Nothobranchius furzeri: one gene and its partner. The protein of the gene in region 2 purifies or fractionates together with the protein of the main gene of each other region. This does not show direct contact. Links are inferred from orthologs where the notes say so. Each region holds a gene or a part of one and is shown on either strand. Other genes may lie near its edges. The genes, in order: ctnnbl1 and aicda.

What was found.
Region 1: the proteins of aicda (region 2) and ctnnbl1 purify together in Homo sapiens (affinity purification with western blotting; 3 studies listed by BioGRID, with this or other methods). This does not show direct contact. The link is inferred for Nothobranchius furzeri from reciprocal best matches to the Homo sapiens genes AICDA and CTNNBL1.

Annotation. Positions count from the first base shown.
Region 1 is NC_091755.1:51,816,361-51,823,581, forward strand, and holds the start of ctnnbl1 (beta-catenin-like protein 1), read right to left. Parts: upstream 3,960-7,221; 5' UTR 3,812-3,959; coding exon 3,782-3,811; intron 2,734-3,781; coding exon 2,515-2,733; intron 85-2,514; coding exon 1-84. UniProt on the Homo sapiens protein: Component of the PRP19-CDC5L complex that forms an integral part of the spliceosome and is required for activating pre-mRNA splicing.
Region 2 is NC_091745.1:73,198,823-73,206,081, forward strand, and holds the start of aicda (single-stranded DNA cytosine deaminase), read right to left. Parts: upstream 4,573-7,259; coding exon 4,481-4,572; exon of another isoform or gene 1,641-4,480; coding exon 1,475-1,640; intron 1-1,474. UniProt on the Homo sapiens protein: Single-stranded DNA-specific cytidine deaminase. Involved in somatic hypermutation (SHM), gene conversion, and class-switch recombination (CSR) in B-lymphocytes by deaminating C to U during transcription of Ig-variable (V) and Ig-switch (S) region DNA.

The DNA of each region.
Region 1 (7,221 bases), on a different chromosome or scaffold from region 2:
AATCCTCAGTTCCTGGTTTTTGTACGACCTTTTCTCAAAGGTCAGGATCATTTTCTTCACTGAGCTCTCGTCAATCGGCTCTGCCTGTTTGATTAGCGCAGTCGGCGGGAAGAAGGGGAGAAATAGAGGGAAAAGAGGAATGGGGGAGAAGAAAAAGAGGCTTTTATTGAAGCAGCTGTTTGTGACAATAGCAAAGCGCCATCGGGGCGATCTTAATTATGTGAAAGGAGCAAATGAATTTTCTTCAATAGGAGGAATCTAAGAATGTTTCACAGAAACGAGAATGTGTTTGACCTCCTGATGGCTAAATGCCTTAAACTGCTGGAGCGATAATGACCAGTTAGGACATGTCAACTGCCTGACATTATGAACAATGCAGCACTTTGCTCTCAAGTACCTCCTGACAGAGTGAATCTTTTAAAAGGGTACAAAGTGGTATTATAGGAACTAAATTATAGATGTGCCGTTTTCAAACAGACTACACTTTATGGTATAACTGGAGCTAAGAATCCCAGAGAAACTCTTCTCATGCCCTCTTTCCTGTGACAGTGTTGGCAGAGAAAAGAATTAAATCAAATGCACCGCTTTGCTAGTCTGGTAAGCCATCCTACATGTAAATATTTAGTCTGGTCACAAGCTAATAAAGCCACCCCGCCATGGAGCTGAATCTACGGTTGTCTATCAAACTGTCGTCACTAGGACTAATCAAAGCAATGAACAATGCAACGCGCTCACCCCTATGGATGTCAGTCAATGAGGAAGTCCACCACACAACATCAAAGAAGCAAATGCATCTCTTTTTATTAAATAAATGACTTAAAGTGACGGTGTGTATTTTTCCTGGCGATAGGGGGAAGTACATACCTAAATCATTGGAAGTAAGCAGTATTTTTGTGTTGGAGTCAGACCTTAACAACAGATGCCCATTAGGGTCAAAAAGCCCTGGTTAGTGCAAACTTCAGCAAAATAACAAGCACATCAGACTCCCTTTCATCACTGGCAACACGTGAAGAGGTAAATGTGCAAAACAACAACATTTAACTTATTCACTACCAGCTGTTTCCTGATCAGAAAAGCCCTTCGCTGCCAGCGTTCTTCAGCATTTTTACTGTTTTTTTAAGAGTCATGGAACGTTGTGCACTAGGATGATGTCGACGCCAAAACTAACAAAACAAAGAGGAGACTCGCCTCTTACATCAGGAAGTTGTTACAAAGCTGCCAATATTTGTCAACAACTGGGCATCATTATATTTATCTTTAACAACATTTTGATGGATACTTCCAGAAATGAATGGTAAAAACTACACATTGTCTCTTTAAGTACATCCATCTTGTCGAGTCTCAAAGAAAGGCTCAAGTCTAAATTGTCCAAAGTTGATGCCAAGGCTGTTTCAAACGAGCACTGTTCCCTAGCCAGCGGCCAGCGCCATCTTTGTTGTTTTTCTCCATCGCAGCTCCAGCTCTAAGCCCACCTAACAAACGTAGAGCTCTGTGATTGGCTCGACACAAAACTGTTCAGGGCAATGATAGATGTACTGAGGCTACGATAGGGCGTGGCTTTGACCTGCAGGGTTGCAGTGATTAGCCGTGAAATGCTGCAGTTAACCCACCATAAAGACGTCTCCAACACCAAAAATAAATAAGACATTAACGGACCAAAACAAAAGTGAAACTGAACTGACGCACGCAGCAGAACCAGCTTCAGGAACCACCGGGACTGCTTCCTTTCCACATGAGAAACACTTGAAGTCTCCTGTGAGGAAATAGTTTAAATTCTCAAAGCTGCTAAAGGAGAAATTTAGCACGACGGCTCGTCCACCTGAAGAGCTGGCAAGAAAAAAAAGCTGCAACATCTCCTACATGTTGTCATGTCTGAGATCATCAGGCAGACAAATAATTAGAATATGTTAGTGACTGAAGGGATTTAACAGTAATATTAGAACAGTGAACAATACAGTGAACGACAGTTCATTTAGTAATTTTGTACAATTCCCTGTCTACAATAAGCCAGTATGGCAGGCCATTTTAACATTTAATCAACAACCCCTCTTTGTAAGTCCAGTTCTACATAATACAGCAATATAATTTATCCATGTCCAAATAATATTCTTACTGGTGAAATTGTAAAAGAAAGATATAAACAAGTAGAAATTATATTTAAGGATACATAATAACTGCACTAGCAGGAATTTAGTATCCTCTGGTTAGTTTTTATCAACAAGGATTATTAATTTAAAGTGAATTTACTTAATATTAATTATTAAACTACAAAAATATCTAAGACGTTCAATAAACTATGGATAGAACGATTATTTCTGCTCTGTCTAATTCTGGTGCATTAACCCTAACAATATAATGGTTAGATTACTAATTTGCTATTATCTTAATAATTCTAAATTTGCTGCAAGAAAACGGATGAAGCGTTCAGTTTAGGCAGATTAACACAAACAATGTAATAAATCATGCTTCGCTTCACTTAAGTACACACCCTTAACGAAAAGGACCTTTACCCACCTCAGGTTCTTCCCCATCCTGATCCATCAGTTTTTCCAAGATCATCTTTCGGTCTTCAGTTATTTCTTCAGTTTCTCTCATCTCCGCTCCTCCTTCAGCCTCCCTGTATCTAGCTAGCTCCCTCGCTCCCAGACCTTTCAGCTGCTTCCCTCCTCTGGAGTTGTCGTCTTCTCCTGCGCCTCCATCACCGTTCCTCAGGCGCTTGGCTCCTCTATCAGGCTAAAAGATGAAAATAAATGGATATAAGGTGAAAGTGAGTGGAGTGAGTCTCACATTGTTTAAATTAAAACAAAACTACAAACTTTGGTCAAAAAATAAAACAAAGAAAATGTATCTGGGCTGAACAGGATTTCTGAAAATGTATTTTCTTTTGTCTAATTGGTTTTTACTTATCAGAAAACTTATACCATACTAAATGACAACATAATATGTAAAATTATATAATAAACAAATGTAAACAATCAATTTAATCAGGTTAATGGTTACATTGCCAAACTGTAATTCACCATTTAGTTACAATAAATATGTGACCCATACATTTAACCATCTTATTTTGGAATAGCTACTTTCCTTAAAATATATTTCTCTGCAAAAAACGAAGAAAGCCATTAAAATACTTCTTATTTTCAATTAATGTGAAATAAATTTAAAAGAAAGCTAGCTCCGCTCCTTCTCTCGGGTGATGCTTGACACTATTATATGAAACTCCTTTGTATCAGGTCGTTTTGCTGTCTCTAAAAATAAACAAGCGTTTTCAGGAATATTTTAGGGATAAAAATCACAAACTATTTTACAATAAGACACAAATATAACAATAAAACTGTTAATAAAAACAGAGAGCTGATGCAGAGGATTGCATGTTAGTACAAAGTGTCATAAGTGATTATTTTATTGTTCTTTGTGGACAAAAACAAAAAAACATAGACGTAAACACTACTCTAGACAAAGGCATCCATTAGGAAAGCCAGGGGAGGCAAAAATAACCACGCAAACATAAACTGACGATCCTTAGCCTTCATTAGCTAACAAGCTAACTGTCACGTTTTTCTTCGATGAGAAAAGCTAAACTGCTCCATTACCATGGAAGCGCAAGGAATGGGTAATTTACAGACTCGTAGATCTCCACACATAAATAAATAAGAAACTAATCAGCTTTCTGGATTTTATTGGTAACTTTTAGCAAGGCTGTGTTGCTACATGCATGCCAACAGTTAAGAGATTACAGAAAGAGCGTTCCCTGCGTTGACTGCTTGAAAAAAATACATACCTGATAGTTCAGAAGCTCCCCGACGTCCATTTGTTCAGATTAGATCACTTCACCGTAAGATAAATGCACTTGGAATTAAGAAAAGAACCCTGCACGATTGGCTTTTAGCTAACAACAAAATCTGAACATGCCGGCGCTGTGCCGTAAAATGCTGGCCTGCCGTATGAAAAGAAACACTGTCGTAAAGCAGAAGCCTCCACAGTTTCTTCCTGCGGGGCGTGTGTGTGTGTGTGTGTGTGTGTGTGTGTGTGTGTGTGTGTGTGTGTGTGTGTGTGTGTGTGTGTGTGTGTGTGTGTGTGTGTGTGTGTGTGTGAGAGAGAGAGAGAGAGAGAGAGAATGAGAGAATGAGTGAATGAACCTTTGGTATAAAACTAGCTCTTGTTTTTTTGTAAAAGTAAAACAATAAATTCGTGTGTCAGAAATGTTTTTCCAAGGCCTCCAGGGCAACCTGCTGGCTTGATTGTCACCCGCAAGTCGCTTTGGACAAAAGCGTCTGCCAAATACGTAAACATAAACCAAGCAATTAATATGGAACTGTAATAATAATTAGCTTTTTTTATTCCTCTGTATCTAAAAGGGTTATATTACAAAGTAAATCAATGTAAGATTGTACCAAACAATCTAAAAATAAGATTATTATCTAGATAATAATTATGAAAGATGTAATGTTAATTCAAACATATGGTTGTTATGCCAGCCAAATGGTTATCGCTTAGGATCAATTTGGTAATTGTCTGACTCTAAAATCAGCACATCTGCTTTTTGCTTATTTTATTGCACACTAAAAATACAATACAATGAAGTATCAGAAATTGACACCAGCCTGCTTATTATTTTAATATCTTTACATGTGCATGAACTAATAAGCTCAGAAATCAATGTCTGTGCATCATAACTATGCTACCTTTGTGCTGACTTAATAACAATATGAGCTCCTTACCAATCCTCCTCAAAGCCACATGTATGAAGTTCTGGTCCAATGGGCTCAATTTTGCTGCATTCATAACCGCAGACATTTATATGCCCGGATCTCTTACTGTTCCAGACAAGCAGAAAATCACCCCTTCAGTGAGAAACATTGTGAAATGTCTGAGTGGAGAGCAGTGTCGACGCCTCTGTTGCCTCTCCAGTCTCTGGCCAGTGATCTGTGACAGTAGAGCAATAGAGACAACATTCAAAAGGAAGGCCACTGCCAAGCACTGAAGCTTGACGTCCAACCGCACGAGGGGCAAGGGGAGAGAGGGAAAGGAAATCAAAGCAAACACGAGTAATCTAAATGCTTAATAGCTCAGTTTATGAACAATGCAATAAGTTGTTACTCAACTATTGTTTTACTTTTTTTTTTTCAAAGATGACACCGATCACATAATGAAGATGGTGTCTCAAGATAGCAAGTTAAGTGCAAATGCGTGCAATTTGCTCGGTTTCTTGTATAGGAAACTTTGTTCTGATTGACTTAATGAACTGACCAGAATTGGAATGTTTATTATGTGAAATACCCTGAGACGACTCTTGTCGTGATTTGGCGCTTTGTAAATAAAATTGAATTGAATTGAATTGAAAGTGTAAAACTGTGAAATATTGGATAGAAACTTTCATGCATTCGATTGAAACTTGCATGTAATCAATGGTAACTTACATGTATTTGATTGAAACCTGCATTTGATAGAAACTTGCATGCATTTAATTGAAAAGGTTCATGCAATCGATTGTTACTTGCATGTATTTGATTGAAACTAACCTTTATTCAGTTGAAACTTGCATGTATGTGTTTGAATCAGATTCAAATCAAAACATCAGGTAACTGAGACTTCAACTCATTTAGGATGAATGTACCGATTGTAATTTTCCTCATCACAAGTGGTTTGATGTGAAATTGTCACAACAGTCTAAGCAGTAAAGTGATGTTAACTTGTCACTCATGATGCAAGGACCAACATGCCGACTTCAGAATTCCAGTTGTGTTTAATAGTGGAATTGATGACATCATGGCCACTATTTATCACTATTTCTTCAGTTAAACTACTTACATAAACTTCTCTGTTACGGGAATAAAGTTGGTCTCTGTTAAATGTTTATATGCTGCTTGTGGCTTTATTTTATATTTGTCCTCAGAAGTGAAGATACGAGATTCATCCTCTAAGAGAGCCACTTGACTGCAATTTTTAGACTTTTGACTAATCTTGTGGGTATTATTGCATTGTTTTTATACAAAATGAACAAAGATTGATGTATTAATCCTTCAGCCTGGAAGGAAATCTCTCTGTAAACCATATTTTAGTTCCCATTTCTTCCCAAAAAGTCCAAGAATTCTAGAAAAAAATGGGAATGTTTTTATTTTTATTATCATTTTTTATTACATTAGATTTTACTTTGTGTTGCCCCACCAAAAATGGCAAAAATATAGTTTTTCTTGCACAGTAAAGCATTAATGTTCTTATGATGTAAAAGGTTTTTCTCCTTATAGTTGAGCCCCATTGTACCCTGAAGCTTTTAATTTATGCTCAATTTAATCAGTTTGGCCTATTTTACTTTTGCTTTGTAAGATTTTTTTGATTGAGGAATTTCTGAGTTTAGCAAAACCTCTGAATCTGCAGGATTTGTCAAATGTAACAAATCTTTGTTGTTTCGCACAATAATGAACACATTTCACAATCCCTACAGGACCCAAAGCTTTTCATATGCAACCATCTGCCTAATGACGTCTCCTCATCATTTCCCTGCAGAATTAATCCGAGGCGATGCCGTAAAACCATTTCCACACAAATGCATCCTTCAGTATTGTGCCGTTCAAACTGGAAGTGCTGATTGCATTAAATTACAATCTTATTGTGATTGCAACATTCAGATCAAGATAAGTGTGCTCAAAATTCAGGATAGCAACATATTTTGATTTATTTTACATCAAAGCAGAAATAAGATGAGGAACGATGGTCCTCATCACTTTTTCTCATTAAGTCAAGTGGCAAAATCAGTCCACCATCAACACTTTCACTCATTAGGAACCATTTAGTTAGGAAACAAAAGGTCTTAGAAAATAAAACCTTAAATCCTCTTGTAGTAAAATATGTAAACAAAAATATGTTTCAATTCAGTCGTGATGGTTTACAGTCAGAGGGGAGGAGACAATAGCTCGACTGTTTGCTGCAGATCTTTGTGTTCAGCTGGGACCATACAGCTGGTGAGAATACTTTCCTGGGTATGAAACACAATTATTTTTGGTCCTCTACCACATTAGGAATCTAATACACTAAATGAGTTGCTGCACAGAACCATCTGGCTGGTCTGAAATAGGAAACGCTCTTTTATAAGGAGCCATCATCTCTTTATGTTGCCATTTTGACCAGGGGTCTGATTTTGATACAGACAAAAAGTAAACAGAGAAAATCAGGTGAATGAATTAAATTACTAGTGACGTTGTTAATAACCGCTCTGACTTG
Region 2 (7,259 bases):
TCCTTAAACTCCTCCTAAAATGTTTAGGGTTTATGCTAAAGACCAATTTCACTGAGAAACTGCTTTTACTCATTGTTTTAAAAATGATCTGTCACTGTTTCAGAACGTGAACATAGTCTTCTACCCCTATTTCCTGCATTAGCTTCTATTAGATGGAAAATTGCTCGGTTTCCGAAAAGCCTGACAGACCTACATCACACTGTCACTTAACATGAACTCACTTATCTTGGCTCATGACGGGGAAGGCTGTTGTTGTTTTAGCGTCCAGAAAACAGCAGAGAATGTCTTGGCTAGTATAAGCTAACGGTTAGCGTTAGCATCTCCACCACACAGCAGAACTTCTCCAGGCTTGTGGTATTTGTGGAGATAAAACATCAACGTTGCAAACAGAGTCAGTGGTAAAGTTGTGTTGCTGTTATCCTATCACAGGCGGCGAGATGTCCAAATATCAGGAGGTAAGACTCCAAATCCTGCCGTCGGAAGCTACTTTCTCCCCCAGCTGATTTCTACTTCCTGAAACAGGCACGCCGGAGCTTTTTTTCCCCAGAGAGCAACTTACAAGACATTCGTTTCTACTAGCAACTGCTGCAAATGTATTAAAGATACAAACAAGTTGACTTTTAAGTACCTTATGCCAAAGTGTGTTCTCTGAGCTGGAAGTCATCCAAAAAAAAACCTTCACTTAAAATATGCCCAAAAGTTAAGAAAATCAAAGTTTCCCATTCAAAAATGAAAAAAAAAAAACACTGTTTTTATGGTGTTTGGGGTTGCATCAGGGCAGATGTGATGGCTGTGTGGGGATCATAATCATCGGAAAGTGATTCAACATTTCAGAGCGGCATATTTAGACCTCAAGATGAAACACACATCCTCTTTTTTGTGCTCAATATTAATTCCACGTAGGCCTGCCTATAAAAACATCGCCATTTCAACATTTTATTGTATTTTAGCCCAGCCAGCCCACGTAGGTGGGCCCCATATAGAATATATATGGGGAAGCCGAATGGGCCCCATAAGGGTTTGTCCGCAGTTTCCATGGTGGCTCCACGGGGGGTTGCTAGCAAAGATTTTAATTTGCCAATGTCAAACCCTCTGAAAACCCATGTAGGGCCTGTTAAAATCTATGTGGGCAAAAACCTTTCTGGGCAAGCCCCCATGGGGCCACTGTGGAAACTGCAGCCAAACCCTGTTGGGACCCATATATATTCCATATGGAGCCCACCTATATGTGTGCTGGCTGGGAGGTTTGTGAGAAGGAATGGCTTCATTACAAAGCAGCCAAAACTTTGTTTTTTTAGTTTTAAAATGAAATAAAACTTTAGATATATTGTGTGTTTTAATGTCTGCAATGTAATAAAATCTGAAGAAAATGTAAGAATCGAAAACCCAATTTTCTATATATCATGATGTACAGTTTTATTACATAAAATCACAATGTGTTCAGTTATTTATCATCTCTTCGCTGCTTATTTACCTCCACATGACAGCCATTGCGATTGCGAAGATGTCCAAAGTCAAAGGACAAGGAGTCTGGGCCCGCTCGCCTTTTCACCACAAAACACAGGTACGTCTCACACCGACCTCTCGCCCAGCGCATGTTCTTATAATGATAGATGAACTTCTTTTTAGGCAGGAGAATGCTGGAACAAACAGGGAAAAGAGGAGATTTCCTTTTTTTATAAGCCAATGTCGCTCAGCAGACTAAAGACGGATCACGTTTAAAGAGCAGCTGTTTTCTCAATCAGAAGGATTAAATAAGGAGCTGAACTGTTTATTTATCTGTGAGAAAATCTGTTCAAATTCTTTAGATTCATTTGAAAAGAAAGCAAGACAAACATGTAAAGTCTGCGGTTTGCTGAATGTGAACAGTGGGCATTCAGACAACAACTAACATTCACTAACAAACCTTTCTCTCGCTCTCAGTTTCACAACTTTTAGTGAAACCAAGACAGTCGTTCATCAATTATTAATACTGAAACCTGAGCGTTCATGAATAAAATGTCATTAAAGGAGGCTAGTGTAGTAAATGCTTTAAGAATAAACTTCCCGATTCATTCTTTGAACCCGATTTGCGTGTGCAACGTGAGAAAAAGGCAGAAAAATGCAACAGATGAATAAAATGCATGTCTGTCTCACCTGTCGAGCTTTGTGATCATTTTGAAAGATGCGCTTTGCTTCGTCACTCGGGATTAAATGGAGGAAAATGAGAAAAAGTGAATGTGTGTGTGTGTGTGTGTGTGTGTGTGTGTGTGTGTGTGTGTGTGTGTGTGTGTGTGTGTGTGTGTGTGTGTGTGTGTGTGTGTGTGTGTGTGTGTGTGTCTTTAGGGGGTTAAGGAGGGGGGAACTGAGAATCTACACCTCTAATCATAAACATCCTGCATAAAGCAGAGACAGCTTCTGGTTGGACAGAAACAATTTTCAGTCAGTTTGAGCGGGCGTGATGCAGAAGAGGTGGTTGTCACTTTCTGCAGCACAAATCAGCTCAAAATTTGAATATTGCTTTATTTTATTTTATTTAAAGAAAGGATTTTTTTTTCACTTTTCTTTGATTTTTATTTATTTATTGCTAGAATGAGTAGTATGGAACTACGATTGGGACAATATTACAGGTAACTTGTACAAAGCTTTGCAACCAGTAACATATTTTGTAATTTTAACTTACGTTTTGTAGCACGCAATTCTTGTTTTGTAACACGTAACATTTGACACGTAACATGAAATTTTCATTTTGTAACTTGCAAAAAAACAATCAATGTACACGTTTTAAATCACAACTCTCAAAACACACATCTCAGTCTACAGTTAGAAACATTTTGTCCCAATTCTAGCTTCCTTCCCAAGCAACCAATGACAAGCTATGTCTGACCAGCCAATCATGAGTCTTGGATTCCTGCTCAAGACGATTCCTGTTGGAAGCAAGCTAGAATTGGGACGAAATGTTTGTAACTGTAGACTGAGATTTGTGTTTTGAAAGTTGTACATTGATTGTTTTCTGCAAGCTACTAAATAAAAGTTTCATATTACCATATTTTCACGACCATAAGGTGCACCTAAAAGTCTTAAATTTTCTCCAAAATGTACGCCGCGCCCTATGGTGCGGTGCGCCTATTGTGTTGTTGTGAGACGCAAACGTAGTAGGAGGCAAGGGGCGTGGCAAGAACGGCAAGGGGCGTGGCGAGAACGTGCGGACATGAACGAAGACAGACCCTGAATAGTTCAAAAGGGCAGGTTTGCGCGGTATGCTGAACATTGTCCTGACAACCCTGAGAATGGCACCTGCTGAGAGACACGCCTATGAAGCACAGTTTAAACTGCAAGCGAACAGCTACGCGGAGAAACACGGGAATAGAGCGGCGGCGAGAGAATTCAGCATTAATGAGTCCATGGTTCGCAAGTGGAGGAAGCTTGGGCTAATGTGTCTGCTTGTACTGTTGTTCGGGCTTTTGCAAAAGCCGGCTTCATTCACGAGGAGACGGACGGCAGCGAGACAGACTCTGACTGTGACGAGAGCGAAACTGGTGTGTGTGACTGTACTCTAGCCCAGTTGTTCTTATCAGATACAGAAGATGAGGACTTTGATGGATCTAATTATTAATTAATAGCACTCAAATAAAGCACAACCGAACTCATATTTGCTCCCGCTGCCTTTTTTAATAAAACACAATTCAAATCACACTATTTTCTTAGGCCTGTTAATAACACACATATGATTTTGTTCATGTGGAAAGTTTATGTGGTTAAATCCACCAACTAAACACATTCTGAACTTCAACACAGCGCATAAGAAGAGCACGAGCCGTCAGCGCACGCAATGAGGAAGTGCACGTGCGCTCTAAACCAGGTCTGAACCAGGACTAGACCAGTAAAGTGAAGCATGCTTTTGGCTGTTTGTAATTTTCACAACGTCTGGTTTGCACTGATATGTTCCGAGTCCCGAGCCCGCACCGATGCTTTACCGGTACGTTGTACCGCGCCCTATAACCCGGTGCGCCTTTTGTATGTGTTAAATACCAAAAAGACACCCGTAACTGAAGCTGCACCCTATAACACGGTGCGCCCTATGGTCGTAAAAATACGGTACGTACCGAAGTTACATGTTACAGAATGAGAATTACATGCTACAAAATTAAATGACCTGTTACAAAAGGAAAGTTAAGTGTTACAAAATGTGAATTACATGCTAATTAACAAGAGTCACAGTTACAAAACTTGGTATTGTCCCAACCCTAGTTCCATAGAGTGGCAGATTACACAGCAGCACAGACTTTTTTAAAGGTGTCGAACACTGAAAAGCCATTTTTAATGATTATTTCTGATTAGAATGGGTTACTCAAGAGTTTTTCATGCAGGATGAACATGAAAATAGTCTCCTACACATAACTCCTGCATTAGCTTCTGATAGAAAATAGATGGCGAATCTCCAGGATTAGAAAGTCTGGCAGATCTACGTCTCACTGTCACTTAACATTCATGGACTCACCCATTTTGGCTCATGACGGGGAAGGCTGCTGTTGGTTTAGCATCCAGGAAACAGCAGGGAACATCTTGGCTAGTAGAAGCTAGAGTTAGCATTAGCAAATTCACCACACAGCAGAACTCCTCCAGGATTTGGATAATTGTGGGGATGAAATGTCCGCATTGCAAGTCAGCGGTAGAGTTGCATTGCTGTTATCCAATCAGTGGCGAGATGTGCAAATATCAGCAACAACCTGCCGTCTGAAGCTCAGCTGTGATGTGGCTCACTGATGTGGTTCCTGGAAATGATGCACCGGTGGTTTTTTTACCCCGGACAACGACTAACAAGGTATTCTTCCTTAATAGAAACCACTGCAAATGTATTGATTAAACAAGTGAACTATTCCTTTAAATCCTCAGTGTTTTCTGATATTTTTTCCCCACTGGAAAATTTAACCAGTTGGATGGAAAACTTCCAAACCCCGATTTAATTCCCTTCAGTTTTCCAAATTTCCTTTTAAACTTGCACAAATGTCCTCACCTTGATTGACCTCCTGTAACCCTGCCCCTTCACTCTCCTCATGTCATTAAAGATTCCCGCCTAGCTTGTCCCCCACTTCCTCTGGCCCTCAACATTCTGTGGAGCCACAGGCGTTCCCAGACCACAGAGGCCTTAACTCTCTTGTCTCCTGATCTGGGTTTTCCCAAACTCTGTCGTCTGGGAGCAGATTTGTAGTCGTCCTTCTTCACCCAACGTGTCTGCTGGACCACCTGACCAACCGCAGCATGTGTGTGTGTGTGTGTGTGAATCTCGCTCGTGAGCCTTTCAGACATCATCAGCGTGTTTCCTTTGCTCTGTCTGCTCTCTCGGTGGCATCCGGCTTTCCCATGACTCCCCTCACCCTTTGGTGCACTCTGTGGCTCGGGGAATTCACCGTTTCCCAGGGTGGCTGTTTTTGGAGCTCATCTGTGTGTTAGCCATGCCATTAACACAGTCTATATGCTGTACATCATCTGGAACAAATTTCTCTAATTGATCCTATGATTGTGTGGTGGCCCAACGCTTCAACTGATTCACAGGAGTGTGTCTGCATGCTCTGTGCAGCCTCGCATCTTACTGACAGCGCTCGCCTGCATGGATCCTTTTTTCTCCCCTGAACTTCCAAGGAGCTGATCAAACGCCAGACTGTATGTAACCACTTCCCATCCAGCTCTCTGGGCTCAACCGCAGCTGACCAAGGTCATCTCTCAGTCACACGTGAACGCTCACGTGCACTACCAGCCCTCCTCTCATGCACTGTCTGCGTCTTGTGTGCCGGAGTTGTCCACAAAGACCAGACATGTGCATTTAACCTAAAGTCAGAGGGGAGAAAGCGAGTGTAGGAAGTGCCAAGTCACATTTTCCGAAACCCACCCGCCCACACACACACACACACACTCACACTCACACACACATCGGTACCGTGCAGACACATAAGACCACAGTTACAAGCAGACTTTCTTTCCAGTGTGTGAGCTCACATCTGTTTCCTGACAACAATAATAGCTGCAGATCAGGCGGGCAGAGGCTCCGCTTGCAGGTGTCTGCAGCTCGGCAGCAACGAGGAAACAACCTGATGAATGACCAAAAATAACCGCACTGAGCCATTAAATCTAAAAAGTTAAAGTCCCATTAGTTGTCACACACACAGGTGTGTGTGCGAAATTTGTTCTCCGCATTTGACCCATCCCCTGGGGGAGCGGTGAGCTGCAGACACAGCCGCGCTCGGGAACCATTTGGTGGCTTAACCCCCCAATCCAACCCCTTAATGCTGAGTGTCAAGCAGGGAGGCGTTGGGTCCCATTTTTTCAAAGTCTTTGGTATGACCCGACTAGGAGTCGAACCCCTGATCTCCCAGTCTCAGGACGGACACTCTACCACTAGGCCACTGAGAAAGCTACAGCTAAATCAGGGAGTGTTCAGCTGAAGGAAAGTTAAAAGTGTCTAAAGACTAGAGCTCAGTGACTCAGCTCTTATGCCTGCAAGATAAATCAGTGTTTTCCAAAAAGGCAAACCTCACATGTGCATATTGTAAAGATGGTTTGTGTTTTTCATGAAAAAACGAAAGTGCCGTGCAGGATTTAGCAGTTCTCTCAGGGCCTATATTCGTCTCCACACAACAGGTGTGCAAACATCCGGCAGTGTTTTATCTGTGGCTGAATGCTGCGACACTGAGATGGTCTGAGGTTAGCAGGAGGGTCGGTCTGCTCAGAGGAAAGCGCGAGAGCTGCTAACCATATTAAGGTTAGCCTCAGGCAGGAGGTCGCGTGCAGTTTCACTCATGAGCTGCTTGTCTCCTGCAAACCACACAGGATTTCTGTGTGAACGTTTGATGCACTGTGAGCTTTAGGACATTTAAAACATATTAGTAACACATTTTCATTAGAAGCGTTTGGATTTAGATGACGATGAATTCTGCAGACTAATAAACCCGCAATTGTGTGAAAGTGAGTGGAGACAGACGAGGAGCGCTCGGATAAAAGATGCAGATTCACATAAAACCACACAGATTTCCTATACAGTAACTGTAAACACCGACACATCTGTACGGTTTCAGAAAGGAGCGAAGGCGCCCGTACGTAGCTCAGCTAGAGAAACAAACTGAGCAGGAGACACCTTTTGCAGAAGCGTTTTATTTTATCACGTGTAGTTATTTGTACAGCACACCTGAGACGTCGTAATGTTTTTGCATAAATAAATCATGAAGACTGTTATCAAAACAGAAAGATGCCGTTTCAAATGAGAGATTTGAGTTTTAGTAACT